Caenorhabditis elegans: one gene and its partners. The protein of the gene in region 4 purifies or fractionates together with the protein of the main gene of each other region. This does not show direct contact. Each region holds a gene or a part of one and is shown on either strand. Other genes may lie near its edges.

Evidence for each region.
Region 1: the proteins of npp-15 (region 4) and npp-20 fractionate together in Caenorhabditis elegans (co-fractionation; one large-scale study listed by BioGRID). This does not show direct contact.
Region 2: the proteins of npp-15 (region 4) and npp-5 fractionate together in Caenorhabditis elegans (co-fractionation; one large-scale study listed by BioGRID). This does not show direct contact.
Region 3: the proteins of npp-15 (region 4) and npp-19 fractionate together in Caenorhabditis elegans (co-fractionation; one large-scale study listed by BioGRID). This does not show direct contact.

The regions. Positions count from the first base shown.
Region 1 is NC_003282.8:1,489,336-1,498,880, reverse strand, and holds npp-20 (Protein SEC13 homolog), read left to right. Parts: upstream 1-2,858; 5' UTR 2,859-2,873; coding exon 2,874-2,921; intron 2,922-2,990; coding exon 2,991-3,065; intron 3,066-3,154; coding exon 3,155-3,276; intron 3,277-3,936; coding exon 3,937-4,251; intron 4,252-6,566; coding exon 6,567-6,837; intron 6,838-7,932; coding exon 7,933-8,043; 3' UTR 8,044-8,228; downstream 8,229-9,545. Other genes in the region: Y77E11A.16 (Serpentine Receptor, class D (Delta)), read right to left, coding at 9,119-9,287.
Region 2 is NC_003280.10:11,595,625-11,602,606, forward strand, and holds npp-5 (Nuclear pore complex protein 5), read right to left. Parts: upstream 4,186-6,982; 5' UTR 4,182-4,185; coding exon 4,076-4,181; intron 4,020-4,075; coding exon 3,907-4,019; intron 3,859-3,906; coding exon 3,652-3,858; intron 3,600-3,651; coding exon 2,576-3,599; intron 2,530-2,575; coding exon 2,081-2,529; intron 1,900-2,080; coding exon 1,654-1,899; intron 1,598-1,653; coding exon 1,301-1,597; 3' UTR 1,143-1,300; downstream 1-1,142. UniProt on the Caenorhabditis elegans protein: Involved in kinetochore assembly and chromosome segregation during embryonic mitosis.
Region 3 is NC_003280.10:10,795,004-10,801,194, forward strand, and holds npp-19 (Nucleoporin NUP35), read right to left. Parts: upstream 3,477-6,191; 5' UTR 3,474-3,476; coding exon 3,400-3,473; intron 3,334-3,399; coding exon 3,260-3,333; intron 3,211-3,259; coding exon 2,938-3,210; intron 2,888-2,937; coding exon 2,496-2,887; intron 2,446-2,495; coding exon 2,261-2,445; intron 2,082-2,260; coding exon 2,015-2,081; intron 1,972-2,014; coding exon 1,891-1,971; 3' UTR 1,650-1,890; downstream 1-1,649. Other genes in the region: set-14 (SET domain-containing protein 14), read right to left, coding at 1-297, 352-469, 666-1,027, 1,082-1,285.
Region 4 is NC_003281.10:7,925,355-7,933,555, forward strand, and holds npp-15 (Nuclear pore complex protein 15), read left to right. Parts: upstream 1-3,688; 5' UTR 3,689-3,695; coding exon 3,696-3,780; intron 3,781-3,824; coding exon 3,825-3,937; intron 3,938-3,983; coding exon 3,984-4,595; intron 4,596-4,655; coding exon 4,656-4,974; intron 4,975-5,019; coding exon 5,020-5,645; intron 5,646-5,692; coding exon 5,693-5,997; intron 5,998-6,041; coding exon 6,042-6,200; intron 6,201-6,251; coding exon 6,252-7,108; intron 7,109-7,155; coding exon 7,156-7,469; 3' UTR 7,470-7,701; downstream 7,702-8,201. Other genes in the region: C29E4.13 (C2H2-type domain-containing protein), read right to left, coding at 1,698-1,814, 1,863-1,914, 2,036-2,145, 2,195-2,275, 2,322-2,424, 2,503-2,593, 2,641-2,734, 2,811-3,107. UniProt on the Caenorhabditis elegans protein: Important for early nematode development.

The DNA of each region.
Region 1 (9,545 bases), on a different chromosome or scaffold from region 4:
AAAAAATTGTTTTCTGAGATTTCCGAAGCTTCTGTTTAAAAAAAAATAATTTTCGTGAAAATATTGATATTTTTGAGTTTTTGCAAAAAAATCGTTAAAAAATTATAAAAATAGCGTGTTTTCAAGATTTCCGGTGCGAAAAAACAATTTTTTAAAAAGAAAAACGTTCAAAATTTGAAAAATGCCTATTTTTCACTGCAACTTTTTCCTCACGAGGGACGAGGAAAAGTGGTTTCTAGGCCATGGCCGAGGGGCCGACAAGTTTCAGCGGCCATTTATCTTGCTTTGTTTTCCGCCTGTTTTCTTTCGTTTTTCATCGATTTTTTTCGTTTTTTCTTAATAAAACTGATAAATAAATATTTTTTGCAGATGCTAAAACAATTTCCATGTAAAAAAATTATGTATTCAGTGGGCAAGCAGCGATGAAAGTGGTCAATGTAAAATAATGGATTACGGGAATACAAAACCTAAACTTTTTCTGAAACATGATACATATGATGCTTAGATGCTGAAATTACCTGATTTTCATAACGAGACCGCTGAAAAAGTTTTGAGGTTTCCACAATTCAACTTTTTTGGTAAAAAAGTCGAGATTTTCGCACAAAAAATTGAATTTTGAAAACCTCAAAACTTTTTCAGCGGTCTCGTTATGAAAATCAGGTAATTTCAGCATTTAAGCAGCATATGTATCATGTTTCAGAAAAAGTTTAGGTTTTGTATTCCCGTAATCCATCATATTGCATTGCCCACTTTCACCGCTACTTGCCGACTGAATACACAATTTTTTAACTTGGAAATTGTTTTAGCATCTGCAAAAAATATTTATTTATCAGTTTTAATAAGAAAAAAACGGGAAAAATCTGTGAAAAAATAAAAGAAAACAGGCGGAAAACAAAGCAAGATAAATGACCGCTGAAACTTGTCGGCCCCTACCACTATTCCTCGTCCCTCGTGAGGAAAAAGTTGCAGTGTTTTTCGGTTAAAAACCTCGAATTTCCGAGATTTGTCGATTTTCTTCGGAAAAACTATGTACTTTAACAAATTTACAGGGATTTTTTTGGAAAATTTCTGGAATTTTCCAACTTTCTCGCAAAAAATTTAAAATTATCGATTTTTTGATAATTTATCTATCAAATCAAGTGGCAGAAAGGAGAAAAACAATAAAAAGGGCAGTCCGCACGTGCAGAATTGAAGAGAAAGAGGACCTCAGCCAGGGTGAGAGAGTGTAGAGGGTGTGGAGACGCAGACACTGAAAGAAGGGGGTTCAGAGATGTGGAGAGTGCAGAGATGTTGGTGTGATGAAGACTTGGCAGTGTGCCAAATGATATTTTTTATGGAATATGATGCAATTGTGCTCTGTTGATAATTTTTGGGGTGGCAGGATTCTTTTGGGGGAAATTATTGATTTTTTTTTTCTTTAAATTTGATTTTTCTATAAAAAAAATTGGATTTTCTATAAGAATTTAGATAAATAATAGTTTTCTTATATTTGCTTTAATGATTTTTCGGCACAAATAACAGATTTTTTCAAAAAAAAATTTTTTTTTACTTTTTGGGGATTTTTATCGGAAATTTGAAAAAAACTGAAACTTACGATTTTGATGCTTCTTGAAACTATTATTTTTCGAAACTTTTTTCAAAAAAATTCTGGAAATTATTGATTTTTGTCCTAAAAATTTTTAAAACCCCGAAATTCTATCGAAAAATAATTCAACATTTTTAGATTTTGCGTGAAAACTCTGTTAGAATATCGACTTTTCTGTCAATTTTCAATTTTTTTCCGCAAAAACTGCCAGAATTTCCTCAAATAGTTCATTTTCGATTGAATTTCCAAATTAATCCGAAAAATCGATAATTTTTTGATTTTTAACTGGATTTTTCGATAGAAACGTTAACTTTGCTGACTTTCTAAAATTTTTACAAAAAAAAACATTTTAAAAAACGTTGGAAAACACATAAAATTCGAGTTTTTCGGCTGGAAATTGGGGAAAACACAAAAAAAAACAAAATGTTCTACAGTAACCTTGAAACTGCGCGTCGGGTTAGATGCATTGATACGCAATTGCGTACAATGCATTTTACTTGCCGCGCACACTTTTTGGAATTATTTTCAGCAAAAATTGCAATTTTTCAAGTATTTCAGCGAAGAAATTGAAAAAAATAAGATAATTGCAAAAATACAAGCGGGTTTTAAAGTTTTCTTTTTAAAAATCTCAAGTTTCTCAATAAAAATATAGAAAACATGTTTTAAAACAGGAATAAGCGAAAAACTATTATAATTTATTGATTTTCGCCTCCAAATCACGCTAGAAAATCAAACTGATGATCATGACAGAAAGAAATGATCGTAAAAATTGCGCTGACGACGTCACGCGACCCGCAATAAGACACACGGAGGCTAAGCACAAAATATAATGTGTTTTTTTTTCATTTGAATCTTTTTTTCAGACTTCAAAGTACGGCGTGTTGATATTGATGATCAGAAGAAAAAATCAAAACAGAAGAAAAAACAAGGACAATATAATTAAGAAAGTTGTTTTTCAGAACTTTGATCTTTTAATCTGTGTTGAAAGGTTCCCTGAGTTGTTTTTGATTTAAAATCTTAAAAAGTAGAACTAGAAATTGTTATTTTTATCAAATTATCAACAATTTCCCATTCGAATTCTCCAGGTTTCCATCAATTATTATTTTCTCGTGATTAAATCCACGTTCCTTGGCGCACGAGAAACACGCCAGCTATCGTTTGCTGGCGCGTTTCTCGTGTTGACGCGTTTCTCGATCGTTCCAACTTGCAATTTTTAAATTCAATTTTTGCCGAAATTCACTCAATTTTTAGCGATTTTTTTCGAAATTTCTAGATTTTCAGCTGAAAAATGACCACGGTCCGCCAGAGAATCGATACACAACATCGTGACGCAATTGTAAGTCGGAAAATCTGAATTTTAGCTAAGAAAATCTATTTTTTTTTTTTAAATTCTGAAAAATTGCAGCACGACGCTCAGCTCAACATCTACGGAAGCCGACTCGCCACGTGTGGATCTGACCGTCTTGTGAAGATTTTTGAGGTCAGGAAAGGCGAAAAATCTTGGATTTTCTGCAAAAATCCCAGAATTTTCATAATTTCAACGCAAAAAAAAATATAAAAATATTACAGGTTCGCCCAAATGGCCAGTCATATCCGATGGCGGAGCTTGTCGGACACAGTGGTCCCGTTTGGAAAGTCTCATGGGCTCATCCGAAATATGGAGGACTTCTTGCCTCCGCTTCCTATGATAAGTACGGAATATTTGGAAAAAAAAACGGAAAAATGATCAAAATTTGCTAGATTCGATCAGAATTTCATAAAAATACGCTAAAATCTCTGTTTTTAATCGGTTTTCAGCTCATTTTTTGGGTTTTTTGCCAAAAATTGGTTAAACAGAGTGATTTTGGAAGAAAATGGACACAAATATTGAAAAATGCAGCCTATTTCTGAAATTTCAATGAGTTTGATCATTTTTCACCGATTTTACGCTATTTTCCCTTTAAATTCACGGATTATTTAAAGAAAAATCAGTATTTTCGGTCAATTTTCACAGTTTTTTTTTGAATTTCAAGCCTAATTTCCCTCAAATCCACCAAAATTTTAAAAACTTCAACGGGTTTTATGAAATTTTTACCGATTTTCTGCAATTTTTTCCCGAATTTTAGTCGATTTCTGCCCCGATTTTTGTAATTTTTATCGATTTTATTCAATTTTCATAGTTTTTTTTTCGGAATTTTGAGCCAATTTACCCCCCAATCCAACGTTTTTTTCTGGAATTTCCATGAATTTCAGTAGTTTTTCACGGGTTTTTTGCAATTTTTAGCTCATTTTGCTCTAATTTCAGGCATTTTTCATCAATTTTCACAGATTTTCAGCCAATTTTCCCCCAAATGAATCGATTTTCTTTCCAGAAAAGTGATAATCTGGAACGAACAACAAGGCCGCTGGCAAAAAGCCTACGAATGGGCCGCTCATGAGGCCAGTACGACTTGTGTGGCCTTTGCACCACACCAATATGGCCTAATGTTGGCTTCTGCCTCTGCTGACGGTGATATCGGTATTCTTCGATACGACAATTCGAGCAACGAATGGATTTCGTCGAAAATTCAGAAATGTCATGAACAAGGAGTTAATTCAGTGTGTTGGGCACCTGGAAGTGCTGATCCGGCGGCAAAAAAACGTCTTGTTTCAGCTGGAAATGATAAAAATGTCAAGATTTGGGCTTTGTGAGTAGAGAAAATGCACTGAAAATCGATTTTTTAGATTTTTTAGATTTTTTTTGACCCGAAAAACGTGAAATTTTGACGTTTTTTCGATGGAAAATACAAAAACCGCAATTTTCTCAGGTTCTCAAAAGTCAGATTTTTTGTAAGCCTAAGCCTAAGCTTAAGCCTACGCCTACGCCTAGGCCTAAGCCTCAAATTGCCAAAACTTCTCGGAAAAAAAGTCGTAAAATTTTACTTTTTTTTCAGCAAAATTGGCAGATTTTATGAAATTTTCCCAAAAAAGTTGTATTTTTGATCCAAAATTTGTTTAAAAATCACAAATTAGTGCAGTTCTTACCGGAAATTTTTGAAAAATTCAAATTTTTCCCTCAAAATTACCTGATTTTTTGCTAAAATCACAAGAATTTCTGAGATTTTTCCCCTGAAAAAGTCAGTTTTTCTGGGATGAAAAAATTCGCAAAATAAAAATTAAATTCGGATTTTTTTTAAGGCCTAAGCCTTAGCCTAAGCCTGAATTCCAGAATTAAAAAAAATTTCCTTCTGAAAAATCAATGAAAAAATTGTTTTTTTTTCTGAAATTCTCAAAATTTACAATGTTAAAGTTAAAAATTCGACCCAATAGCGTATTTTTTCACCGAAAATTCTCAAATTTCTTAAATTTTCACCTGAAAAATCCCATTATTTTGCCAGTGACGACGCGAAAAACGAGAAAAAATGGAAATTTTTCGCCAAAGTTCCAGATTTTTCTAGAGTTTCCTTTGAAAAATCCTTTTTTTTGACAATTTTTCCGTGAAATAACCCATTTTTTCACAGTTTTCCATCAAAAAAGACTAAAAATCCGACCATTTAATAAATTTCTTTCTAAAAAATTGTAAAAGTAAAAGCGAATTCTACCCGAATTTCAGATTATCGTGTTAAATTCAAAATTTCCAGGTTTTGGATATTTTTTAACAGATATTTGTCGAATTTCCTGGATTTTCCCCCTGAAACATCCAATTTTTCGGTTTTTTGATTAAAAAAAAACTGAAAAAATCACTCAAAAAATAATTTAAACTTGAAAATTTGTCCCAAAAGCTGTTTTTTTTGCAAAAAATTCTCAAATTCCAGATTTTTCGCAGTTTCATTTCAAAAAACCCCCAAAATCGGAAATTTTTATTAATCTTTTTTGCTGAAAAATCAGAAAAAAAGTATATTCTTTCGAAATTTTTGTCGAATTTCCTGAATTTCCTCTTGAAAAATCCATTTTTTGACAATTTTTCCGCGAAATTACCCATTTTTTTACAGTGACGACGCGCTACAAACAAAATTGTTGGTGAAAATTCGAAAAAAAAAAAAAAATTTCCCCATTATAATGCAGAAATTTGGGTTCGCTTTGGAAAATCCCAATTTTGAAGCTGCCCAAAAGCTGATTTCCCACTGAATTTTGTCGAATTTATTGGGGTTTCTCACTGCAACTTTTTCCTCACGAGGGACGAGGAAAAGTGGTTTCTAGGCCATGGCCGAGGGGCCGACAAGTTTCAGCGGCCATTTATCTTGCTTTGTTTTCCGCCTGTTTTCTTTTGTTTTTCATCGATTTTTTTCGTTTTTTCTTATTAAAACTGATAAATAAATATTTTTTGCAGATGCTAAAACGATTTCCAAGTAAAAAAAAAATGTATTCAGTGGGCAAGCAGCGGTGAAAGTGGGCAATGTAAAATGATGGATTACGGGAATACAAAACCTAAACTTTTTCTGAAACATGATACATATGATGCTTAGATGCTGAAATTACCTGATTTTCATAACGAGACCGTTAAAAAAGTTTTGAGGTTTTCAAAATTCAATTTTTTGTGCGAAAATCTCGACTTTTTTACCAAAAAAGTTGAATTGTGGAAACCTCAAAACTTTTTCAGCGGACTCGTTATGAAAATCAGGTAGTCTCAGCATTTAAGCAGCATATGTATCATGTTTCAGAAAAAGTTTAGGTTTTGTATTCCCGTAATCCATCATTTTACATTGCCCACTTTCACCGCTGCTTGCCCACTGGATACATAATTTTTTAACTTGGAAATTGTTTTAGCATCTGCAAAAAATATTTATTTATCAGTTTTAATAAGAAAAAACGGGAAAAAGCTGTGAAAAACAAAAGAAAACACGCGGAAAACAAAGCAAGATAAATGGCCGCTGAAACTTGTCGGCCCCTCGGCCATGGCCTAGAAACCACTTTTCCTCGTCCCTCGTGAGGAAAAAGTTGCAGTGTTATTGGGGTTTCCTAAGAAAAATTCATTTTCTTAATGACAATTTTCCTTCGAAATCACCAATATTTTTTCCTCCAGTGACGACGCTACAAACGAATGGATTCTCGAGAAAACCCTAGCCGGACACACAGATTTTGTACGTGAAGCCGCATGGTGCCCGGTAACAAATAATGGACAACATACAATTGTTAGCTGTGGAATGGAGGGAAATTTGGTACTTTTCCGTACTTCAAATATTGAAACTGAAGAGTGGAAGGCGAAATTATTGGAGACGGCTCCGTGTGCATTGTACCATTCATCATTTTCTCCGTGTGGATCATTCCTTTCAGTTGCTGGCGATGATAATGTGGTATGGAATCGAGGATTTTTGTGTGGAATAATGTGGAAATTGGCACCGAAATTGGGAAAATTATGGATTTTTTACGTCAAAAATGGCACAATTTTTGAAAAAAAAAAGTGTACAAAAACAGCGAAAATCATCGCTTCAAAAACGGAAAATTGTCACATTTTTAGCAAAAATCGCTGAAATTTTGGATTTTTTAGCTCAAAATTATGATTTTTCGAGCAAAACCTAGAAAATTCGAAAAAATTTGGAAAAAATAGCGAAAAAAAAAAGCATTTTGGCATTAAAAAAAACGGAAAAAAATCTTACCTACCTCTAGCCGCAGTAGGCATGAGGCAGGTGGCAGGTTTTTGTGAGGAAAATTTTGATTTTTTTTTTTTTTTTTTTTTTGGTTTTAATACAACTTCTATCTTTTTTGCCCGGTTTTTCGTAATTTTAGGAAGAATTTTTCAGAATTTTCGTTGAAATTCGATTTTTTCAGGTGATTTTGATCGAAAAATGCTAAAAATATTAATTTTCGAGCAAAACCTGGAAAATTCAAAATTTTGGAAAAAAAAATCTATTGAGAACTGGCAAAAAAGTGGGAAAACAAAAAATTTTTTTTACCGGAAAATTGGCCAAAATCACTTCAAAATCAATTTTTTTTACATAAAAACCGGCGAATTTCGGTTGAAAAGTATCGATTTTTGAGCAGCACATGAAAATTTCAATTTTTATGAAAAATTTGAGAAAAAGCTACCGAAAACTTGCAAAAAAAGCATTTTGGCACGAAAAATCTGAATAAATGGAAAAAAAATACTCAAAAATTCAGAATTTGCAGTAATTTTACTGAAAATGGCGAAAAATTCGAATTTTCCGATCAAATCACCGGAATTAATTGAATTTCAACGAAAATTCTGAAAAATTCGACCTAGAATTACGAAAAACCAGACGAAATGTTCCCGCCTGCCTAATGCCTACACGTGTGCCTACCGTGCCTACAGGTAGGTAGGCAAATCTTCTTAAAAAAGTGCCGTTTCTACAAAAAAAAGCATATGATAAGCTCTGTTTGCAGGCAGGCAGGCACCTACGCCTAAAAACGCTCATTTTCCAATTTTGCAGATCACAATTTGGCGCGAAAATCTTCAGGGACAATGGATCAAAGTGCCACGTGACAATAAGGAACGCGAGGGAATGAGCCAAGCGGTCGGAGCTCCGGGAGCTCAGAGATAAATAAATTATTTATTTTTTTTCGCTGTTTCTACACCCATAATTCCTCTTAAAACTTGTATATGTACCTGTTATTATTGATTTTTTTCCTCATTTACTTCTCCGAATCCAGATATTTTATGATTTTCCTTCTTTTTCTCTCTCAAAAAACTAATGCGAAACCGGGATGAAGTTTTATTTATTTATTGATTTTTTTCGACTAAATTCAGATTTTCTCTTATTTTTGAAAAATTGGTCGCAGTAGCGCAGTCGGTTACGGGCTGGGCTGGGACGCAGAAGACCGGGGTTCGACTCCGCGTGGTGGGAATTTTCTTTATCTTAGCGTGATTGATACTGTTAACAAGCTGAAACTGAGTATAACCTGCTGGAAACTAGTGAAACTTGAAAAAAATCAGTTTTTTTTCGGAAAAATGCGGAACAGTTTTTGAAAACATGATTTTTACAAATTTCCATGCACATGTTCAAATTTCTCGCACAATTTTCGTTTATTTGACACCAATATTGGCTCATTTCCGAGGATTTTTCGAAAAATTGGTTGCAGTAGCGCAGGCGGCAACGGGCTGGGCTGGGACGCAGAAGACCGGGGTTCGACCCCGCGTGCTGGGAATAATTTTTTTCTTGGTTGATACTATTATCTAGCGGAAGTTGACCGAAATTTGTTAGAAATTAGAAATAATCTCGAATAGTTTGGGTTTTGTGTCATTTTTTTGCGGAAAAATGTCCAAAAAGTAAATGAAAATGTGATTTTCATGAATTTTCATTCAAATTTTTGAATTTCTCGCTTAATTTTTAGATAATTTGATGCCAATATCGGGTCATTTTTGAAAAATGGGACGTGGTGGCTCAACTGGGTAGAGGTCTCGGTGAGACTGAGAAGACCGGGGTTCGACCCACGGGGGCGGTTTTCAACTTTATCAGTTTGCCTTAATAGGTTTTATTGTTCTTTTTTGAAGTTGAAACTCAAAATTTCAAAAAAAATTTTTTTGAAAAAGTACAAAAAAATTTCGACTTTTTTAATTTTTATTTTCAAATTTTATTATTTATTAAAACATTAAAAAAAGGGTTAATTAAGAAAAAATCAATCATATCTCGTCGACGAGTATCGCGTCTCGCGTTCCCCATATACAGTAGTCAGAGATTTCGTAGGAATTGGCCGGACCATCCAGCGGCAGAATAGACGTCGGAAACCATGGTTATACGGTTTTATGTAGTATATTGTGATAATTGGTTGGATAAGGGGGATTACGCTGAAAATTGGAGCAATTTTGAATTTTGAAATTTTGAAAAAAAATTGAAAAAAATTCTAATTTTTTTTTCTAAATTTTTCTAAAAATGTTGATTTTTAGCAATTTCCAACCTTAAATTCAAATTCAGCACAACGAGAGCTTTCATTTAAGTATAATCACGCCTAGGTTCCCTTCACTTTGGGTCTCGCAGCGAAAATCTACAGTACCCTTTGCATTTTCGCTGTGGGACCCAAAGTGAAGGAAACCTAGTCATGATTA
Region 2 (6,982 bases), on a different chromosome or scaffold from region 4:
CGCCGAAGCACCAGATACCATCTTCAACGGCCCGAACGAGGAGCCTCTTGATACTATTCTCTCGTGCCCTTTCAATAAGAAAGAGGCACGAGACGGCAGACACTTTTTGCTGCCTTTTTTGCCGTGTTGGACCACCCCAAAAACAGCACGATTAGGAGGAATTGTGAGAGGAGCGCGAAAGGAGAGAAGCCGAGAGATAGGCGGAGAAGAAGAGGAATAGAGAAACTAGGGAGACGACACGTGGAGCTCGACTCTTTCATTTCAATTTAAACATAAAATTAATTTCCTTCCTACTAGCAGGTCAGGTGTTAAAACAATAAATACACCTCATAACTTTTTAGCCTTTGAAAAATTGATAACGGCATACGGTTCTAATTTCCGGCTGGCGCATCACTGACCAACATCAGGACGAAAATTCTGTGAACCGATTCATCAAAAAATGTCTGAATACGTTGCAAGAAAGTGAAAATAGAAAGATCTCCGGCCAACTGATAACTGATAGCAGTTGGCTGACAAAGGTCAACTTTTAAATTTCTGCCCCACCGTTGCAGATATAAAATATTTGAAGGGAAAATGTTAGATTTGAGATCAAAGCACAAGCGACACGTCCAGCATTGAGAACAGTAAATTTGCATGAGAATATAGAAAAATTTTCTGCGAAAAAGCTGACGTTAAATATACGTTGCGTAGCGGTGAGAATGCAGATAAGGGGTCAACGAACAAAACAATAAGGAGAACACATCGAAAATCAAAAGATAATGAAGAGAACGACTCGCCTTTATAGACATTTTGCCGCCATTTGTTTTAATGAACTCTGCTCTTTCTTTTTTCGAGAACGATCGAAAGATCATCAAAACACAGTGTGTAGTTTGATGCCGCGGGTCTCGCAACGCTCCGGTTGAGACAGGTGTGCGCCTTTAAGTATACGGTAGGTGAGAATCCTCACTGAGGATATTTTCAGGCATGGAAATTTTCAAATTAAATGAAGAAAATATCTAAATCAAAATTTAAACCATCAACCTCTGCACAGAAAATTTTTCCTTTCCAAATATACATGGTAGTCTTGCGTCAGATCGGTAATATAGATCTTCCGCAATCTGATGACCTCTTCTTGAAGAAGATCTTCACGTGAAACCCACAGAAATCAGAAAAATTTGTTATTTTCAAATACTGCACGGATACAATCGTGTCTGTGAAAGATCGACCGGAAATTTAAAAAAAATGAGAAAGAAGTCAGAAATATAGTGATAAAAAATGGTAATCAAAACAGGTATCAAACAAAAAAACAATGAAATAAAAATTATTCGACTTTGAGATTGAGTTCTGCGTAGAAAGCTTTGATGAAAACCATCCATTCCTGATCGAGCCCGAGGTCATTATTGAAGCTTGTGAAGAAATCGTTGAAATTTGTGGTATCGTCGAGTCTCACGGCGGCTTGTGCAAGAAGGATGAAGAATTGCGGGAGGAAGAGATTCCGAATCTCCTGAATTTCTTTCCGGTGTACACGCATTGGATCTCCATTAGCACGTGGGCTCAAAAAGTACTCCGGGCGCACACCAATATTGTTAACCAGCCCACGGAGCATCGGAAGAACAGTCTGAAATTTCAATTTTTTAAAATTTTTTTCACAACAATTTATTCTAAAAATCCTACATCTAAATGTTGTTGAACCATTCCAACTCGCGTATTATGCTCGGCGGCTCTCTTTTTGAGCACCTCTTCCCGCAGAGTTTGCTCAGCACGAGCTCGGACTCTCAGTGAAGCTTCCCAGTCAGCAGCTGTGGTGTTGTCGAGTCGTTTGACTCCTCCGATCATGGAAAGCTCATCATCAGTGATCGGTGTGTACTTGAACATGAGCCCAAGTTTCAGAGCAATAGTGATCATGAAGTTGTTCACATCCTGAAAATTCGGATTTTAAAATGGCCAATATGAAATTGAATATTATTCAGCAGCGAAATTTTGAGTACGGGGTCTCGACACGACAAATTTTTGTTCAATACGAGACGGTTTGCACCTTTAAAGATTACTGTAATTTTAACCAGTGGTTAAAGATTCCGCTGATTTGGATAAGAAATCATACCACGAAAGAGCAGAGCCCATAAAATTCCAGAGCCGCGTGTTCGATTTTATTAATTGCCAGCTGCGATCCAGGTTTTTGCTCAAACAGGGTTCCATCAGTGATCAGTGAAAGTACAGTTGCTTCATTTTCAACAGCTTGTGACAATAGCTTAGGAACTTCGAAATGAAGCGCTTTTCGAATAATTTGCCTAATTACAGACTCGTCAATCGGTGTCGACAGCATCACTTTACGAACTAGTCGATTACATTCTTCAAGAGCAGCCAGTGCAGTCTCTTCTCCACCTATCAAAAGCCAATGCCAGTGATCAATCTGCTCTTCCAAAGTTACAACCTTCGTTTTGTCATCTTTTCTGATTTGCTCAATAAGTGTGCACGCACAGCGTCCGAAATCAATGTCAGATTGTTTCAGCGACTCAGCCAGGATTTCACGTTCTTCATCAGAATCGACAGCTGAAAAGAGAATTTTTTTAAAAATCATCATCAGTTTTTAAATTACCTTTCATAGTCTCCACAATCTCTGGAAGCTTCATATCTTCTGGGAGGAATCTTGAATAAAATGCAGCCATTTTCTTGTGTGATGAGGTTCCACTGCGTGCACGAAGATCATCGAATCCAAGAATAATTACAGCATTTCCATCGTCATTTGGTTCGAAACCACTCGCATAAGAAACTGCGACGAGGTGGAAGAAGATGTCGAGTGCGAGCATGTTCACTTGACAATTTTTATCATTTGGAACAAATTCTCCGACTGTTTCATTTGCGAACTTGTACAGATCTTCAATGTCATCATTGAGCATGTCATCGATCACTCGGAGTAGGATGTATACTTCTTTGGTACGATCAGCCTCTGATCTCAGCTCATCTAAGATTGATTTTGAAGTTAGTGGAACGTTGAACAACGTCGAAATAGTTTCCTGTGTCATGGCTCCCTCGGCGGCAAGAATTCTTGCGAGAACTGCAGAATTTGCATATGCCCATACTTTTTCAATCACTGACTTTCCAGCTTTTAGCATTGGTTGGATATTCCCACGAATCGCAGAAATCAGCATCCAGTAAGCATCATCTTCGCTCCCCTGCGATTGTTCTATCAATTTCTGTGTCATCTGGTAGTACTTTGCGCGTCGAGATCTTTTATATTCCCCAAAGTTCTGTTTAGATGCCTCTAGTGGAATATCAAGTGGGTTCCGGAGCATCGAGTGAAGCTGAAGTTGAGCTCCGATCGCTCCCATTCCTAGATCAATGGCTAAATTCGCAGCTTTGGAAGTTTCTCCACTTCGAATTAATTGGAAGAAAACGTTCATCGCCATTTGCTCGAGAGCTTGATCTTCTTTGGTACCAGGAGCATCTGGATCCAGTGAAGCATCTTTTGGAGCATTGGCTGCTCCAAATGTTGGTCGTTTCAAAGCCATCATTGAATTGATTCTAGAAGATTTGATTCCTTCGAGTTTCCGAACTTTGTCTCCAAGACCTTTTTCATATTGCTGTTCGCTGATCGCTTTCTCACTCCAAAGAAGAAGAGCCTAAAAAATTAGAAATTATGTGTTTAATTGAATAAAAAGTCTAAGATCTTACATAAATCCTTCTAAACTCCACATCTTCTACAACTAGTTTGCTAAGCAAAGAAACTTCCACAGTCTCATCATATTCATGAGCCAACGCGGTATAAATTGAAAGAACACTGGCGATTTGCACGGCTTCATTCGCGTATTTTTGTGAACTGGCGGAATAATTAGATCCTGCAGGAAGTTTTCGAGTCTGCATTTCTACTTCTGAATAGATCTGAAAAAATATTACATTTATCAGAGGCCTTTTTCAAGTGAATCAAACCTCATGAAGTCTGGTCCACATAAGTGGCGAGATTTGCCCTTGAGGAATATCGAACTCTCCGAAAGCCAATGCACATAATTCGTGGTACAGTTTTTCTGAGAGATTTGTGTGAACTGCAAATTATATATTTTTAAAATAGTTTTCCTTTCGCATCGAGTGTTAAACTCACAAATTGTAGTGTATTTGAAAGCGGTTTCATTTTTGCGCGCGATTTCATCGTTAGAGTCGTCGAAGGAGTTGGAAGAATTGTCCCCCGAAGCGAACAAGTCTGTCATTGTGCTAAAAATATTTTTTTAAAGGAAAATAAAGTTTTAAAAACTACATGAAACAGAAAAAAAAATCGTTTTACACGACGAAAACCCTTCGAAATTTGAAAATTTTTGCTTAAACGAAAATAATGGTAGTGCGCTCCATTGAGAACACAATGCGCGGACTTTCAAAAAAGAGGGGTTTATTCAGGTTTTCATAACTTTTTTGAAACACAGAAATGGAAGAAATTGCAATTTGAAACTTTTCCGAGTAGTGCCTTTCATCTTCAAATTGTTTAATAAGGTGCAATCAGCTATAAAAAACAAAAATGAGAGCCGACGTTATGGGTTGATGAGAGCTCTTATTTTAAAGCACATCGTATTTTTGCGTTCCAGTAGCAGCTATCCTCTAAATCATCTGTTTTGTGTGCATTGTGACTGTCTATAAATCGATCAATACGTGCTCCTACGCTTGCGTTTGCTACTTACATAAGGATATATTCTTTGAACCACATGTTTTGTGTGAATTGAGACTGTGTATAAGAATGTAAGGAGGAGAGGGGCCGTTCGTATCGTTCGTCTTATGCACAGGCTCAATGCACACAAAACAGGGTATATTGTATACTCAAATTAGAGAAAAACATATGGAGAGGACAATAGACCAAAGTTTTGATTTAATAACTAGAATGGAACCATTTCTGGAGCACTATTTCGTACGAAAAGCTTGCGGCTTTGTGCAATCAATCTCCTAGGACTTTGGCGGCCTGTCCATTTTTGTTATGTTCGAACAATTGAAAAAGTTATTTTTTTAAAAATTCAGGAGAATTCTATAAATTATTTAAAAAGTTATATTCAATATGTTGGACTGCTTTCTGTTTCTAGGGAAGAAACCTACACCTCCTCCTCTAAAAAGTCCTTATAAGGGGACTATAGACCAAAAAAAAGATTCCTTGTAAAAAAATGTTTGCCCTTTTTTGGTACTTCCTTCCTTGGGCTTCTCAAGTGTAATCCATCACATCAATTACACCAACCGACAAGAAAACCAAAAAAAAAAAACGAAAAGATGCTAGTTTTGCATGGGAGCCGTAGTGCACCTCTTCTTTTTCGTCTCTCTTTGTTTCTGCCTCTCCACTCCTTCACCCACTATTTCCAGCTCACCGAGCCATATTTAGTAGCTTCATATCTTTAGTTTATCAATCATATTTGTTAAAATTAATTTCGAGTATTTTCATCGCTAAATACCTGCTTTTCAAAATCGTCGCCACCTATTCCCAAAATCGATCACCGGATTTTTTTCTGCCGACTTCAGTTAAAAGACAACACAAAATGCAATGGTAAAAGGTGAGTTTGGAACAAGTTCTGCAAAAAAAACGAGAGAGAAGACCCCCGAAACTTGATAGTGTGGGAGAGGAGGAGCATAAGAAAGAAGAAAAAAAAGATGTATTGAATTTCGAACATCATGTTGAATTACAACAAAAAATACGCAGATATTTTCAACTTTTTGCGTTTATTAAAAAATTAATGCATATTTTCAAAATGTTTAAAGCCGCTGATAAACGTTCAGATTTAAATTAATGAAAATTTTTACAAATTTCTAATAGTATGCCAATTAAAAATCAATTAGTTTTAGGCTTTCCATTGAAAGTAAACTTTACAGAAAAATCTCAATTTGTACCATTTGGCTTTACATATATTTTTTCAGAGAACTATTGTTCCAGACGCGAACTTTTGAGCCAAAATTAAGGTATCTGGTCTCGACACGACAAATTTCTGAAAGTTAGTAAAGTGGTGTGCGCGTTTAAATAGTACACTGTAATTAATGTAATTTCAAACTGTCGCTGCTGTAGAATTTTCATCGATGTTTTATATGTATGTGTTTCTATTATTTTATTTCAATTTTTTTAAAAATAAATTTATTTTAAATTTGGTATCGAACAACTTCAAAAAGTCGATTAAAATAAAATCGCAGCAATGAGCCTCTGAAATTACAGTTCTATTTAAAGGCGAATGCTCTTCTGCATTTAACAGACATTTATCGTGTCGAGACCGTACCGTAATTACCGTAATTTTGGCGCCAAAATCGCAAAATTTGGCGTCTGGTTCATACGTCGATGTCCCATTTAATTTTCCCAAAAAAAACTATTCGGCCATTTTTTTCAAAATTCAAAACGGTGATACATGCTCAAAATGAACTATAAGTGTAAGTTCATTTAAAGCGTGAATTCGATTTATTTTCGTTTCATGCATCTCGTGTTTGGTATCTCTGGAGACTACACTGCGTGCTTTTAGAATAGATAATATCACTAAATTCACACACTTTTCATTTTTAAAAATTCCAAAATGCTCTGAAATATTTTTGATTTGTGATTTTACTAAAAGGTGTGCGCTACAACTTTGGTTGCTCATTCCTCGGCTGTTTTTTGTTTTTTTGGAAAACTGTCAATTGAAGAAATAATTTTCAATTCTTTTTCTATTTTTTTGTGATTATATGTTTATTGATATCTTCAAAAGAAAGCGAGATATACCCAATTGGGTACATCACTAATAAAAAATATATGGTAAACCATGGTATTTTAAAAAATTTCTTCGATTTTTCTCTTCTTGAAAACCATATTACGGTTGAATGTTCAATTTCAAAATTTAGAAACCAATATAGACATTACATACCAAAATTAAAATTTCTGATTGTGAGCAACTGTATTTTTGGAGAGTTCAAAAAGTGATAACCTTGTTTTACTAGTTGATTGCCAATTGTTTGATATGTGTGTCATAAAATGTTTATATGAAATTTGAAACTATCATATTTTGTCTATAGTTCTCTCTATCTC
Region 3 (6,191 bases), on a different chromosome or scaffold from region 4:
ATGATCATGTAACGTGTCTTGAAATAGATCTAACAATTTTTCACACAAATTTCTCTTCGTCTCCAACGGAATCGCATCATTCGCAAGTCTCGAACGTGCGGCGATGCCAGCTTCCTCTGCCGTTCGACACAATTCAAAATGATCCTTGCTCATTGTCCAGCCACACAGTTCACATTGACCATTTTCCTTGTTTCTCATCCATCCTTTCACACAAATCCCGCAAGTCCAGGCTTCCATTCGTGCGTTTCGGTCTTCATCAAGACAACCATCACATTGGCACAGGAATTTGTATTTTTTCTGGAAATTTTGAGGTTTTTTTCAGGGTGTGTTGAACCTCCTGTAATCTCCTACTTTTAATGTATCTCTTCTCATATCTCTTGGCATTAGTTCGTCTATATAAGAATGACAAGCACCTTCCAGTGTTGAAGGAAGTTCACTTGAAACTGGAACCAGCATTGCGGTACGATTTCTGTAAAATTGGATTTTCATAGTTTCTCTCACGATTTGTTATGTTTTTTTATCGTTTTATAAAAGTTTAAAAAACATTAAATAACTATATTTTATACCTAGAAACTACGAAAAATTGAATTTAACCGAAACTTGTCGTGGCGAGACCGGCGCCGGTCGGCAAAAACCTAAAAATCTAAAAATTTCATGGCATTTACCTATAACAAACTCGAGTCAATGGTTTGCAGGAATGATTAGCTGCGCTCAGCTTAATGCACAATCCAACACCGATTGGATTTCCCGTGGAGTTTCCAACTACAAAACTATTTATCGAAACTTTTTGGAATATCAATTTGATCAAATCTCGATCTGGATGGGGAGCTATCGCAAATTGAAAGTATTCTTTTACAAAAGACTCTTCATCGGCGTCATATGATGATGGATGATGCTCGAGATTTTGAAAATTGCGAGCAACACCCGGAATATAGTAGGCTTCTATTTCTCCATCTTCGTTTCTGCTCAACTTTCCGGCAATTCTCATTACGAGTCGAATCGAGTCGTTCGCAACTTCATTATGAGTCTGAAATATGAAAATATTAGAAATAAATTGTAATATAACCATGAAATCTCCTACTTTAATAGCTTTACACTCCACTTTATGCAGCTTCCAGTCAGCTCTTTGACATTCTTGTGAGCAATAAGCAAGCCGTCGGCAGGCGCTGCACTTTTTGAGTTCTGCCATACTCGTAAGGCATTGATTACAATATGATTCGACTTGATCTCGTGCAAGAGCAAATGCGTACACATTTTCGTGGAGGGCGTCTGGGGGAAGATTCATTGGGAACTGAAAGAATTATTTGAATAATTTTTTTTTAACGGGTTTTTTAAAATTAAATTTTATAAAAAAAATTAAATTTAAAAAAAACTTCATCGATTGTAAATAATTTTCTGAAATTAAAAATTGAAGAAAATGAGAAAAATCGATAAAAGAATCTCTACAGTATTTTTAAAGGCACACACCCACACACAATTTTCAATGTCATTCGTGCCGAGACCATTCTGCAATAATGCGCCCTTCTTTAAACTCATAGAAGTGAATTTGTTTAATCGATGTTTTTCAGTCAATAAAGCCTCATTTTTTGAAAAAATATTTTTTTCGAGTATTAGCAACTCGTCTTCTATAATCGACAATATAAAAATATGAGTTTTCTTCATTTCAATTCATAGAATCAGTTTTGAATGGGAATGGAATGGACGGGAAGAAGGGAAGGAAAAATGTCCGAAAATTGAGAATACACCGAAATAAATAAAATTATTTTGAGAACGAAAAACCGTGAGAAACGAAACTGTTTTCAGAAATTCGAAAAAGAAGGATACACAACAAAAGAAAAAAATGGTGAAATAAAACAGAAAAATGGGCGATATTTCCAATGAGCAAAAAGATTAGTTGAGTCCGATCGTGTTCCAGAACTTGTTGAGCAATCCGTCAGGTGCCTTGCGAACCGATGGGGTTCCCTGTAAAATCTTTTTTAATTGGTTAGAAGGATTGAATCAATGAAATGCTTACGTTTGTTCTTTGATCGGCAGCCAATGGTCTCATTCCGACACCAGAACGGACGGAAATACGAGAAGAACTGAAAACATAAACAATTTTTTGTGGAAATATTAATTGAATTGTGAAAAATTAACTTTTTCTTTTTCACATTTTCAAAGTGGAGTAGCGCTAGACTACAAACTACAAACTTCGCTTTAGCAGATTCAAGTATAAAATTTAGATTTTTATGAATTTTTTACTAAAAATTTCTAATCATACTTGAGCGAGTTATTTGCATCAAAAACATTCGACGAGTTGAGCACACTGTTCTCATTGTGATTAACTGATTGATCGGCCATATCGTTCTCCACAAATGAGTTATACATGGAAGCAGATCGGTTTGCAGCTGCAGCAATGTTAGATGATCGAGCAACAATTCCGGATGCTGAGCCGTTGATCACGTCCTGTAAATTTTAAAATTAAAATAAAAAATAAATATATCCTTTTTACTTACCTTATTTGTGCACTGAACGACTCCAATAAATGTATCCTGATCGAGGAGAGTTCCGTTTCGAGAAATAGCTTGTTGAGCGTGTGTGACACACGAATAGCGCATATGTATGAAGTTTCCTTTTGATGGAGTCTGATGACTAACTACTTCCCCGTGCCGCGAGAATAAATTCAACAAAATCGACACTTGGCTTGGCTGAAATCCAAAAACAGTGACCCAGGTATCAGCTGCGTCGGCTTCTTCTTCCATTGGTTGTTCTTCTGCTTCAGCCAACCTGGATGTGACTCGTTGAGTGATTGGAGTGGAAAGTGGTGTTGATCTGGCAGTGAATGTATTTCGTCTGGAGATCTTTTTCGCTGGTTCAACTTTGTCGCGAAGAGATCGAAGAGGTGGTGCTGAAAATCAATTTTATTTTAAATATTCGCGAAAAAATGTAAATTCTAACCATGCATCGCTTGACCACCGAAAGATGATGTCTGAATCGACTGAGGAGCTGGCTTTGTCGGCGCCGAAAATGATGAATTTCCTCCGAAAGACAAGTTGGCAGGTGTATTCTGTGTTTGTGCCGCCGACTTTTCACCAGATTGCACCAAAGATGGAGACCAATGAACTGATTTAGAGCCCGGTGTATCCTTCAAATGCTGCGGCACTGCCGGTGCAGAAACAGCGAAAATATCCGAACATGGTGCCGATGCAGTGTTGAGCGGGCTAGCGGTGTCTAAATAATTATCATATTTTTGAGAAAACTTAAGATAAACTTTACTTACACGAAGATGGAACAGTTGCCTTTCGCTTTCCGAAAAGAAGTGCCGGCGTAGACTGTTCAACTGGTGTCCCGAAGCTAAAATTAGATTTTTAGTATTAAAAACTGGTTTTTTTTTTGCAAAATAAGAAACAAATTACTCACTTTGAAATACTAGAATTGTTGAGATCCATTGAGTTATGCCTTCCGGATGTATTTTGGTTAAGATGCGAGAACATGGCCTGAATTTCGAAATAAAATGCTTTTTAATTAAAAATTTAAGCAATAAACAAGTTTTTCAAATTTAAAATAAAGAAAGAATTGAAAAATACCGCTTTTTTAAAGTGGAAAACAGGTTCGAAAAGTTCCAAGAAAAAACATTTTTGTTTGAAAAATCAAAGTCCGCAACGACAAAACACGCAAAGCTACGCGCAATTGCGGACTTGAAAATGGAGGGAGTTTAAAATAGGGTTTTTGTGGTGAAAGTTTGCTGGGAGGTTTTCTGCGGGAAATAAAGAGAAAATTTTTTTTCTCTGATCGGATGTTTTGTAATTTTGATGAAGTCGATTTTCTGTTTGAACTTTGATTTTTTTTCTTCAACACTAGACACTGAAAAAAGTGAAATTCGTGTATGGGTTACTGTATAATACCGCCGACCCCTATAGTACATACCTATCCATAAAATATTGAATTCTAAAAAATTCTAGAAATTTAATTACACATTTCAGATGTTTTTGTTTTTATTTCCCTTTGACCTACTCCCTCGTCTAATTTTCGTTTTCAAATTTCAACGAGCACCACTCGTTTCTTCTCACTCCTCCTCGTTTTAATTGCAAAAAAAAACGGAGAAAATTGAGAAATGCACGACGACGGGGTCCCCCATTTAATTAAATTCCTTTTCTGTGTCGTCGACCTTTTTTTGTTGACCACACAGAGCACAACGTTCGGAGAGCTTCTTCCCGCCTCTTCATCAAATAAAATGAGAATTCATTCCTTTTTTGGGAAAGAAAAATGTTTCGTCGCGCACGACTATATAGCCCCCTGTGTCGTATAATATTTGCGGGTTGGTCAAAATGAGAAAGAAAAAAAACCAAAAGATGATGAATTGAATGAAAATTGTATTTAATATTAGTTTTCGGACCGAACCGGATGTAATTTATTTTCAGAAAATGTGGTTGGTTCTGACTGGAGCAGAAGTGGCGACCTGATGATGTAGTCAAACTTGCGCGTCAAATTTGGTGTTTTCGCCCCGCCTCTTAGAAGATGAGATTTTGATTTTTGAACTGAAACTTTCAAACTGTGATTCCCATAAAACCGTACGGAAATTACAATTTCCGTACTGTTACAAAACAAATTTTGGGATAGAGGGAATTATTACGTAGACGTCAAAATTGGGAAAATTTCGTAAAATCTTAGGTCTCGCCACGCCGAGTTACTGTAACTCGTCTCCATTTACGGGTAGCATAGTATCATAATTTTCAGATTTAATCGAAAATTGCTGTCAAGAATTTGAATATAATATTAAAAATGGCACAATATTGGTCCAGTTACAGTAACCCAATTTCAGCGTGGTGAGACCCGAAAACTTTCATCTTTAGACTACCACGTAATAACAGAAATTGAGAATAGAAAACGATGGTATTGGCCACACCCACATAACCGTGCGGAACTTGCAGATTTTGCAACCTCCGCAAGGTTCATTGAGCTCTCATTCTCATAACCGTGCGGAGGTTGCAAAATTTGCAATTTTCGCACACTCTTCTTCTCGTGGAGTACACATTCTCCGATTTCGAAATTTAAGAAAGTTTTTGGAGACGAGGTCACCTGGCAACGGGATCTATGAAGACTAGCGGAAGAACATTATAGCAACGATTCGTTTTTTTTTCGGCAATGTGTCCCAAGTGCATCCCTTTCCATCATTTTTCTTTTTTTATTCTACTCATCGTTCCATTCCACTTTCTTGTGTGTACGACAGCATTCATTCAATCCTAATTGGATGTGATCCTTCTGTGCCCCCCTCACTCACTCAACAAGTTGCTCTCGACGCTTCTTTTTCACATTTTTCTTCCTCTCTTCTTTCCTTTTAAAAGCACTCTACAGGATGTGTTGATGATGATGATGATGTTTTCTTTTTTCTCTATCTCTTCTCAATGCTTTTGAGATTTTTAATGAGTTCTAAAAATGGAAACGTGTGCAGCGCTAATAGAATTGAAAGCTCAACATTTTCATAATCACATTTTGTCTCAGGCCACCGAAATTAATATTAATTGTAAATTCTATATTTAAGACAAAGTTGCTCCTTTACAACACTATATACATTTCTCGGCCATTTCCATAATTATATTTCCCTTCGAATCAAAAGAAAAAAAACGGAATGAAAAAGAGCATTTTAAAATGAGATTTGCATCTTATTTATTAGTGGTCTCTGAGTTTTTATAATAAACGAGTCAATGGGGATTATACTACTGATGGAATGATCTGAATTTCTATGAAGCTGGGAGATCTCACTTGTCATTTGGAATGAGCATAGGTAAACGGAAACAGTTCGACGCCTACGTCATGCCTGCCTGCCTACACTCAAACCTTATGCCTATATATGTTTCTACACGCCTACTTCATACCTGCCTAACTATTCGCCTACTATATGCTTCTCGCCTGACTTGCCTAGATCATGCCAACCTAAGTACCTATCCTACCTACCTACCTACTTGCCCACCGCATGCCTACCTGTATGCGTACTTACTTGCCTACATTCCTTTCATGCCTACCTACGTGCCTATACGCCTATTTTGGACCTTGCCGGCTTGTTTGTTATCTGTCTGCTTCATGCCTGTCTACCTACGTACGAATAAAATATAAGAAAATGTTTCCATTCTATGATTGTGGCCGAGTTTTCTGCTTCCACGGCCACGTAGTTAAAGTCTACCAGTATTTGGAACATCAGTGCACAACACATT
Region 4 (8,201 bases):
GTATCGAAATAAATCCAAATTTGACTTTTTTTGTTTCTCGAATTTTTCTTGTCTCAGCTTTGATTGTCAGTTAACTTTTCTTAAAAGAAAACAGTAAAAATAAATCAATATAAAAAATTGGGGAAAACACTCAAAAAGTTGAGTTTGTCTTGACGTGGAAATGAACGGAAGGCAAACATGGACACGGCCCTTGTTTGACACTTTCTTTCGCAATTTCTTCGCCTGACTGTTCATTGTGCATTAGAACAAAGGTCGAAGAGTTCATTGATCCAGATCTTTGGCGTTTTTTATTCGCAAAAATATAGAGAAGATTACTGATACTATAGGGTCAAAACCACTTCTATTTCAAAAAATTTAGAATTTAAACAAATCTTCAAAAGCCAAAAAAAAAAAAAAAAAAGAAATACATTTCCTGTGTACCAACTGAAATCACAACACCCTATTCCACGTGTGTGAAAGTTTAACTATAGACCAGGAAAAACTACATCGACACAGACTGTAAAAGGAAGGAATTATATATTCGGTTGCTTGTCTCGTTGTTCCCATTGTTCCAACGAGGAGAGGGAATAAAAAGTGGCAAGAAAGAATGAGATTTGTTATTATTTTATTATTCGAATGTGAAATGTAGGTGGATAAAATAAAAGTGGTGAAATTCAAATATATCTGAATAATTCAGAAAACTAATTTCTAATACCAAGCTGGTCCACTAATCAATGATAAGCAAATAAAGTGAACTGTTAAGACAATACGGACCGCATGGGAAAGTAAGCAAAGCAGAGCTATACTCAGAGAGACGCAGACACATATACAGAACACAGTACATGTAGATGGACACGTCGATTTTCTTTTCCGTTTTGCGCCAAATATTCATCGGATGAGAACGGGTGTTTAGAGGGGAAGACAACGGAAAATATCACAGGGATTTCGGAGGGAGAAGCATTGAAGAATATTGCAAAGAGCTTATGTTTGTACAGGCGGACAGAGACTATTGCAGTTGCATCAGTAGATACAGTGGAAACATTTTGAAATTAAAATCCACGTGGGAAATCTAACAAAAATTAGAAAATATAACTTTTTTCCACTTCCACGATTTTCAAGGAGGTGCATTTATTTTAGAATGGTCTCGCCACGCATTGCGAACTAACCTAACAAATTAAGGCGCGCCTTTAAGATTACTGATTTTGTTAGCAATTCTTTATCGATTTTTCTCGATTTCCAAACATAAAAATTGGATTTTTTCCGATTTTCGATATTTTCGGCTAATATATACAACTAAATCAAAAGAATATAATAAGAAAGAAACCGGCATTTTGTTGGCGATTCTAATCTAAATGTTCGTGCGATTAGGGAAAAGATGTTTTATGAATTTATTGCGTGTAAGAAAGCGGGTAGACAAGGTCGAACAATTTATAGAGGTTCTTCCCTCCGCCACGTTTGGAATTAGTTATGAGTGGAGGTCACTTTAAACTGGAATTGGTTATTTTGAAAAAGAATTATGGAAATCTCGAAAAAGTTAATAAATTCTTTTTCAGATTTTTTTAAAGTTAATAATGAGAAGTAATTGAAAATTGAATAAAGATTAAAATATGAATAATGAAAATCGAAAATCATTATTTCAAGAATTTCAGTAAGTATAAAAATTCAAATTATGAACTTATTTATCAAAAAAAAAAGGACCCGCAAATACATTAAACAATTTAGACACCTCGTCGATTAATGGATAGATCTTGATGTGGAGTTGTGACAGACATCGGACGAAAGTTTATTGCAATATTTTGAAGTTCAGGGCGAGTCTGTGGAATTTGACAGGAATCCTGAAACAAAATTTTTAGAACACAAGTATGACGTTGTAAATACCTTACCAATGAAATATTTTGATATGTGGGCGTTTGCACTTGTCGTGAGTGTGAAGTTCTGAAGTTTCAAAATTAAAATAATAAAAATCAGCTTACTATCAGAATTAAAAGTTTGATGTTTATCAATAATTCCAGAATGTTTTATGCTAAACTTTTCGGCACTTTTTTTGTAAACTCACAATTTTCTGACTAACACGATTGGCCGTTTGAATTTCAAGTTGGCGAACTTCATAACTTCTACTTCTGCTTCTCTCTCCCATTCGTGAACTCGATCTTTAGTTACCTCTGGCTGCAAAATGTTTTTTAACCTTTTCAATTCTCAAAGATAAAATAAATACTCCATCTCTACATATCAGAAAAATTTGTTTGAATGCTTCTCGGGCGGCTGTCTCTTTTTTGGGATCGTATTCCTTGAATAGCTGAAAATATATAAATTTTTAAAAAAATGTTTATATTGCTCCATACCGTAACTTCATCTTTCGGATGTCTTGTACTCAAATGAAAACGACCTTCTTCTTCAGTGTAAAATCCATCTTTTTTACAATGAAAACAACGGTAGGGGCGATATCTTAATGTTTGAAGTTTTATGAATGCTCAAAAATTTTATTTACATATTTAGTTAAATAATTTGAATTGAAATTCTTACTTTAAATGTGTGCAGAGAACGTGATATTCGAATCCCCTCCAAGTTTTAATAATCGCGTTGCAGTGACAACAATAAGGCAATGCTTTGTGTTCTAAAATGCAAATTTTAAATAGTTGAATTGAAAAAAATTAAACTCACGACTCAAAATATCATCTTTTTCATCCAGATATCGATCGCTCAGGTGTGTTGGATGTGCTTGCATTGTTATTGGAACAACAAAATTCGAACCTGACTAAGAAATGCATTTTTCTTTCGTTTTTTTTAGTGGAGTTGGGGAAAATTTTCATCTCAAACTCAATTTTTCTCACCCTGTGTATAGTCTGCATTCCATTTTTCTTTGCAGATTCCGCGACGGCTACCGTCGTTTCTCGACTTGTCCGTAAACGGTTGTTCCGATGATTTTGTGAGTGGAGGTTATGCGTTTTTTCTGTAAAAAAAGCTTTGCAGAATATTCTTCCATTTTTCATTTTTTCTTTTTTTTTTGAGGGAGAATTCGTTTGAATTGTTTCCTGAAAATTTAATTCCAAGAATTCCAGATTACCGTCGTCAACAGGCTTCCAATTTGACATCGATGCTTGCGATGGATCAATTGTTTTGTTGATCATCTGAAATTGTCAGAAATTATGTTTTTATGAGACAGAAGGAGAGAGAAGGCTTAAAATAACAAAAAAAAACGTTTTATTGAAAAATAATTGAAAAAAAACACTCACTATTCCCTCATTTCCAGATTTTAGGTATCGAAAATCTAATCTATCCTCATTCATCTTTCGCTGGGTTAATATAAACAATAAATTGAGCTTTTAATTTTCTAGTTCATGAGACTGAAAATGGCGAGTGCACAGTTCTGATCGAATAGTGCGCCTGCTAAGAAACGCGCCAACACTGGGTGCTTGACACGCAAAATTGTGGGAATTTGAATTTTAACGAAAATATTTTTCAGTTTTGAACTATTTAATTGATTTAAACAAATATTTTGAACGTTTTTTTGGAAATTGGAAACAAAAACAAAAATATTTCATACCGTGTTTTTAAAGGCGCAGAGTTCCCACATTTTGAAGGGTCTCGCATCGAAATTGAATTCAAAATCTGTTTGTGGCGCGAAACTTTTGTTTCGGAACATGTGAACATTTTCATTTTGCAATTTCTTCTCTTTTCTAAATATCGCCCCCTTTTCTAATCACTGAAATTTCAGAATGTCGGGACGAGATCTCGAACTAACTCTCGATAGAGTATCCAGCATAGAATACCCGGCACTGGTGAAAGAGGCCTTTCTGAATAGTGAGTCGAAAAATGATCAAACAGAAATTTCTCAACTGATTTAGATTGGCACGCTTCAGCTCATCGATCCGAGGTGACTTCAAATTGTGCATCACTCAATGACAGGTACTGCTGGGTTCTGTCTCGAAATCAAATTTTCATTTGGGAGCGGGCGAAGGTGAGATTTAAAAAATAACAATTCTCGAATTAAATTGAACTTTCAGTCGAGCCATCGTGCTATAATCCCCACTCAGCTTCCGTTGCCGACCAGTGGCCTTCCTCGCTCAGTAAAGTGCGTTGTTGTATATGATGGAGTCCACCGTGGTGCAAACAAAACCCCGTGTCCAGGAATTCTCGTTGTCTCACCTGAAGGAGTTCTTCGACATTGGACTTCAATTGAATCTCAAACATACATTGAAGAAGTTTTGGATATCAATAACGAGGTTGCTCTGCGGGTGGAATTGACTGATGAGCCGATCGATGGAAAATCAGCTTCTTTCCTACTGACAACTACATCAGGAACTGTCTATTTTTTGAATGGAAAAGGGCAAGATTCGGCAAAAACGGGTGCATTGGAATGCAATAAAGTAGCTGGTCGAGAAGCACATGGATTCAGAAGACGTCTTTCTTCAATAATGTTCGGAGGAGAATCCAAGGAATCTACGTCACTAATTACGAACAGTTTCCAACATCAATCCAAAGATTTACTGGTTGTAACAGTGTCTCCAGATGTTCTGACAGTTTATAATATGTACACACCATGTGAACTTTGGTCACTGAAAACCAAGGAATTTTTCCAACCAAAGATTGCATCGTTTTTCGAAGCGGACTTGAAGGTTTGCATTTTGCAACTTAAAAATAATAAGTGAATTTCTCAAAATATGAGAATGCTTCAGAGAACTCCACTGAAAGTCCGAGCGAGGTTGATTGATGCAGCAGTCTTCCGAGATGGTCTGATGATTCTAATCGGTGGAACTCATGAAGAGTCTCAATCTGTTCACATGTTCATGGTCTGGATGAGTGCTAACTGGCAAACAGAGCAACCCACCGGAGTAGTTTGGTCAGCAAGAGTTCCAATGAATGAGCATCGCGCCCTTTTTTCGAAGATTGACGATTCGATCTACTCTAATCTGACGTTGTGTATTCCCAAGAATACTGCAGAGTCGAAAAAGGCTGATAGAACAGATGGAATCATTATCATCAATCCCTACTTTGGTACTACATAACAAAATTAATTTAATTTTTGATGATATTTTTCAGCGGTATCTCTATACCTTCCATTCGATTTGGCCAAACCGAAAAAACCGGAAAGTCTATACCGTCATGTTTCCATTCCACCCCGAGATCAACTTCTAGGATATGCAATTTGCTCACAATATGTCTATATTATGATGCTAGAATCCGGTGTCTCTACAATTCGTCTTCTACCACGTGGATTTGCAGACAGCTCGATCTATACACATGAGCAAGTCGTCGTACCATCTCTGTCAGTAGGCACTGATGATTGGCCAATTTTAAGCGAACTCTTGTCTGAAATGGTTGCATCTGGACTTCCGAAGACTCCACTTTATCAATCATTGCATCGGGCTTTCGAGCTTTTCGCAGAAAAACATATGGCAGAGTCGGAAGAGGAATTAAAGGCGATTATCAAAATGCCAGATCAGGAAATTGCTCGTATTGTTTCTCAATTTCTCTACGCAATAATTGATTATTCGGATGCTGCCAACAAAACTGACACTGAACTCCACGCGAAGCGAGTGTTGACATCCAGAATCATGCTTTTCCTGAAGCATATGGGAGTGTATGAAAGAATCATAAGCTCACCCCTGGGAATCAGCAGAGGAGGAATCTTATCGCTACGTGTCGGAGGAACAATGCTGGGAGAAGTAAAAATTTACACTTAGAAAAATAAACTTATTTTCTGAATTTTCAGGTCTCCGAACGTGTCGCTGCATCAACGGCCATATGGACGTGGAAAACTTCAAACGAAACAAATTCTGCAGTTTTCGACGCAATCATCGAGAAAGTTTTGAGAATTCCAGAAGTCCAGGATTTAGGTCTGAAAGATAAAGATGCTCTATTCGGTCGATGTGGACTAGTTCATCATATTCCTGTTGTTGCTGCTCAACAATTGGAAAAAAATGTGATCGGAAAGACGAAATCACACAGATTCGAAGTGTTTCACGCTGTATGTGAACTTCTTTCTGGTATCAAAGAAACTATTATCAGTTGGAGAAAGTATGTTTTGATTTGTTAACAGACTTTAACCATTTGTATGAAAGTTGCAGAACGAAAGTTGCTATTCCTAAGTTCCCTATTTGGTGGACTCTCGAAACTTTTGCATCTTGTTATCGTGATGTTGCTGAAAAGATCATTGAGGAATTGAAAAATGGATCATCTACTGATAGTGAGAGAGCAAGACTTTTGATGTATATTTTGAGGTAAGAAAGGAAATTTTCTGCTTCGAATATTTCCAAATTAATAAATTTTAGCATCTACGATTTCTACCTGTCTGAAAGTGACTCTCAACCAGACAACGACAAAGTTTTGCAAGAAATGATCGCTCTTGGAAAGCCAGCAGACGCTATGGAACTGGCAGAGAAACACAAGGACTTTGGAACGTTAGTCAAAAATTATCTAACGACTGATGTTGGCACTCGGCAGAAGACTTTTGAAAGATACAAGAAGATGTTCGAAAAAGACGATTTCGAGATGTATCTATGTGATTATCTGAAAGAGCATGGACGAAATGATGTACTTTTGCAACAAGGTGGAAGTCGAGTGGATGCTTATTTGGATAACTTCAAAGAATTAAGATATTCAAGAGAAATTGCAAATAAACAGTTCGGAAAGGCGGCCCTCACTTTGATGAGTCTTGCTGATGCAGAAACTAAGAGCTTCTCAAAATTTGTCGAGTTTCTAACAAGAGCATATTATTGTGCATGTTCCAGTATCGATGGAACAGATGTTTCAGAGGTTCTCGACTTCTACAAACGACGATATCCGGAGATGAAGCATCGTAAACGTATTCCGACCGAAATATTGAAAATATGCTTCGGCAACGATTTGGATGCGATGATGTCTGTGGAAGATATGCTCGAATGGAATATGGCTGTCCAGCCGAATGATGAAGCTTCGGTTGAAGGGTTCGCAAGAGCATTCCATTTGTTAGCTGATCTTCTTGCTGTGCATCCGGATTCGGATGAATTGAAAAAGAAAATTGATAAGACGTGGAAAGCATTAGTGGATTATGACGAGTGGAACCGGGTTAGAAGCAAAGAAGATGTGGAGAAAAAGACAATTTTCGGAAAATTCTGCAACTATTTGATCAATTCGTATCCTGCTGACAGTAAGTATCAACAGAAAAAAAAACATGAACAAAAATTCATTTTACAGAAGGTGATTCTTTCCCAATTTGGATGCCAATATCTCGTCGTCTGATCTTCCCAACCGATATCGACACAGTTCTCGATGAATGTATCGCGAATACGACTGGAAATCATCTTTCATGGATCAAAGGTCATCTGAAATGGATTGGAGAGCAACTTTGTAAACAGGCTCTTCTACCAAAATCGGCATTCTTCCGTCCGGATATGAAACAAGTTGGATCGATTTCTCAAGCAGCTCTCGAAGCATTCGGTCCGATTTTACAACGAAGAGAACAACGATTTATTGATCAGTTGAATCGTGATTCGATGATGGAGACTTGATTATTTTATATTCTTCATTTTTTGTTTTGTTTTTTATTTTACCATTTTTCCCGATTTGTATATGATCTCCACGGTTGTTATTATTATTATTTTTCAAGTTTTTTTACCTAACTTATTGATTTTTATACATATCTTTAACGTGATGTTTCCCGTATAAAATCAGAGCTCTTTTTTATCTTAAAGTTTTACTAAAACCGAACATCGTAACTTATTCGATGAAAATTTTACTTATTGTTCTCAAATATATTTTCTCAACGAGTAAGTCGGTCTCGAGCAATCAGGTGTTTCATTTTGTTGTTTTTAAGGTCTCTGTGCCAACTGTTTTTGTGATTGTTTACTCAAAAACTACTAAACTTTAGAAGTAAATTTGTTTCAATTTTGGCAAATCCCCGATATCGAGCCCGATTCCTTTTTTAAACTGAAATTGTTTAGATTTCGCAATCACATAGAAATTATTGAAAAATTCGAAATTTCACGAAAAAATGTAATATGCTCACATTTTCCAAAACTTTATTTCCATGTAATTCAAAGTAACTTTTATTTTTCGGGAAAATTCGAAAGAAATTAATTCTGCGAAATTATTTTGTTTTCGAAAATTATCAGAATCTCAACAAACATGTTCAAAAGATTTTTCTGATTTTCCGAATTTAATTTAGTTTTTAGCAGTGAAATTCAATTAAAAAAACTGGTTATTTTCGTAAAAGTTTTCATAATTGTCATTTTCTTATCATC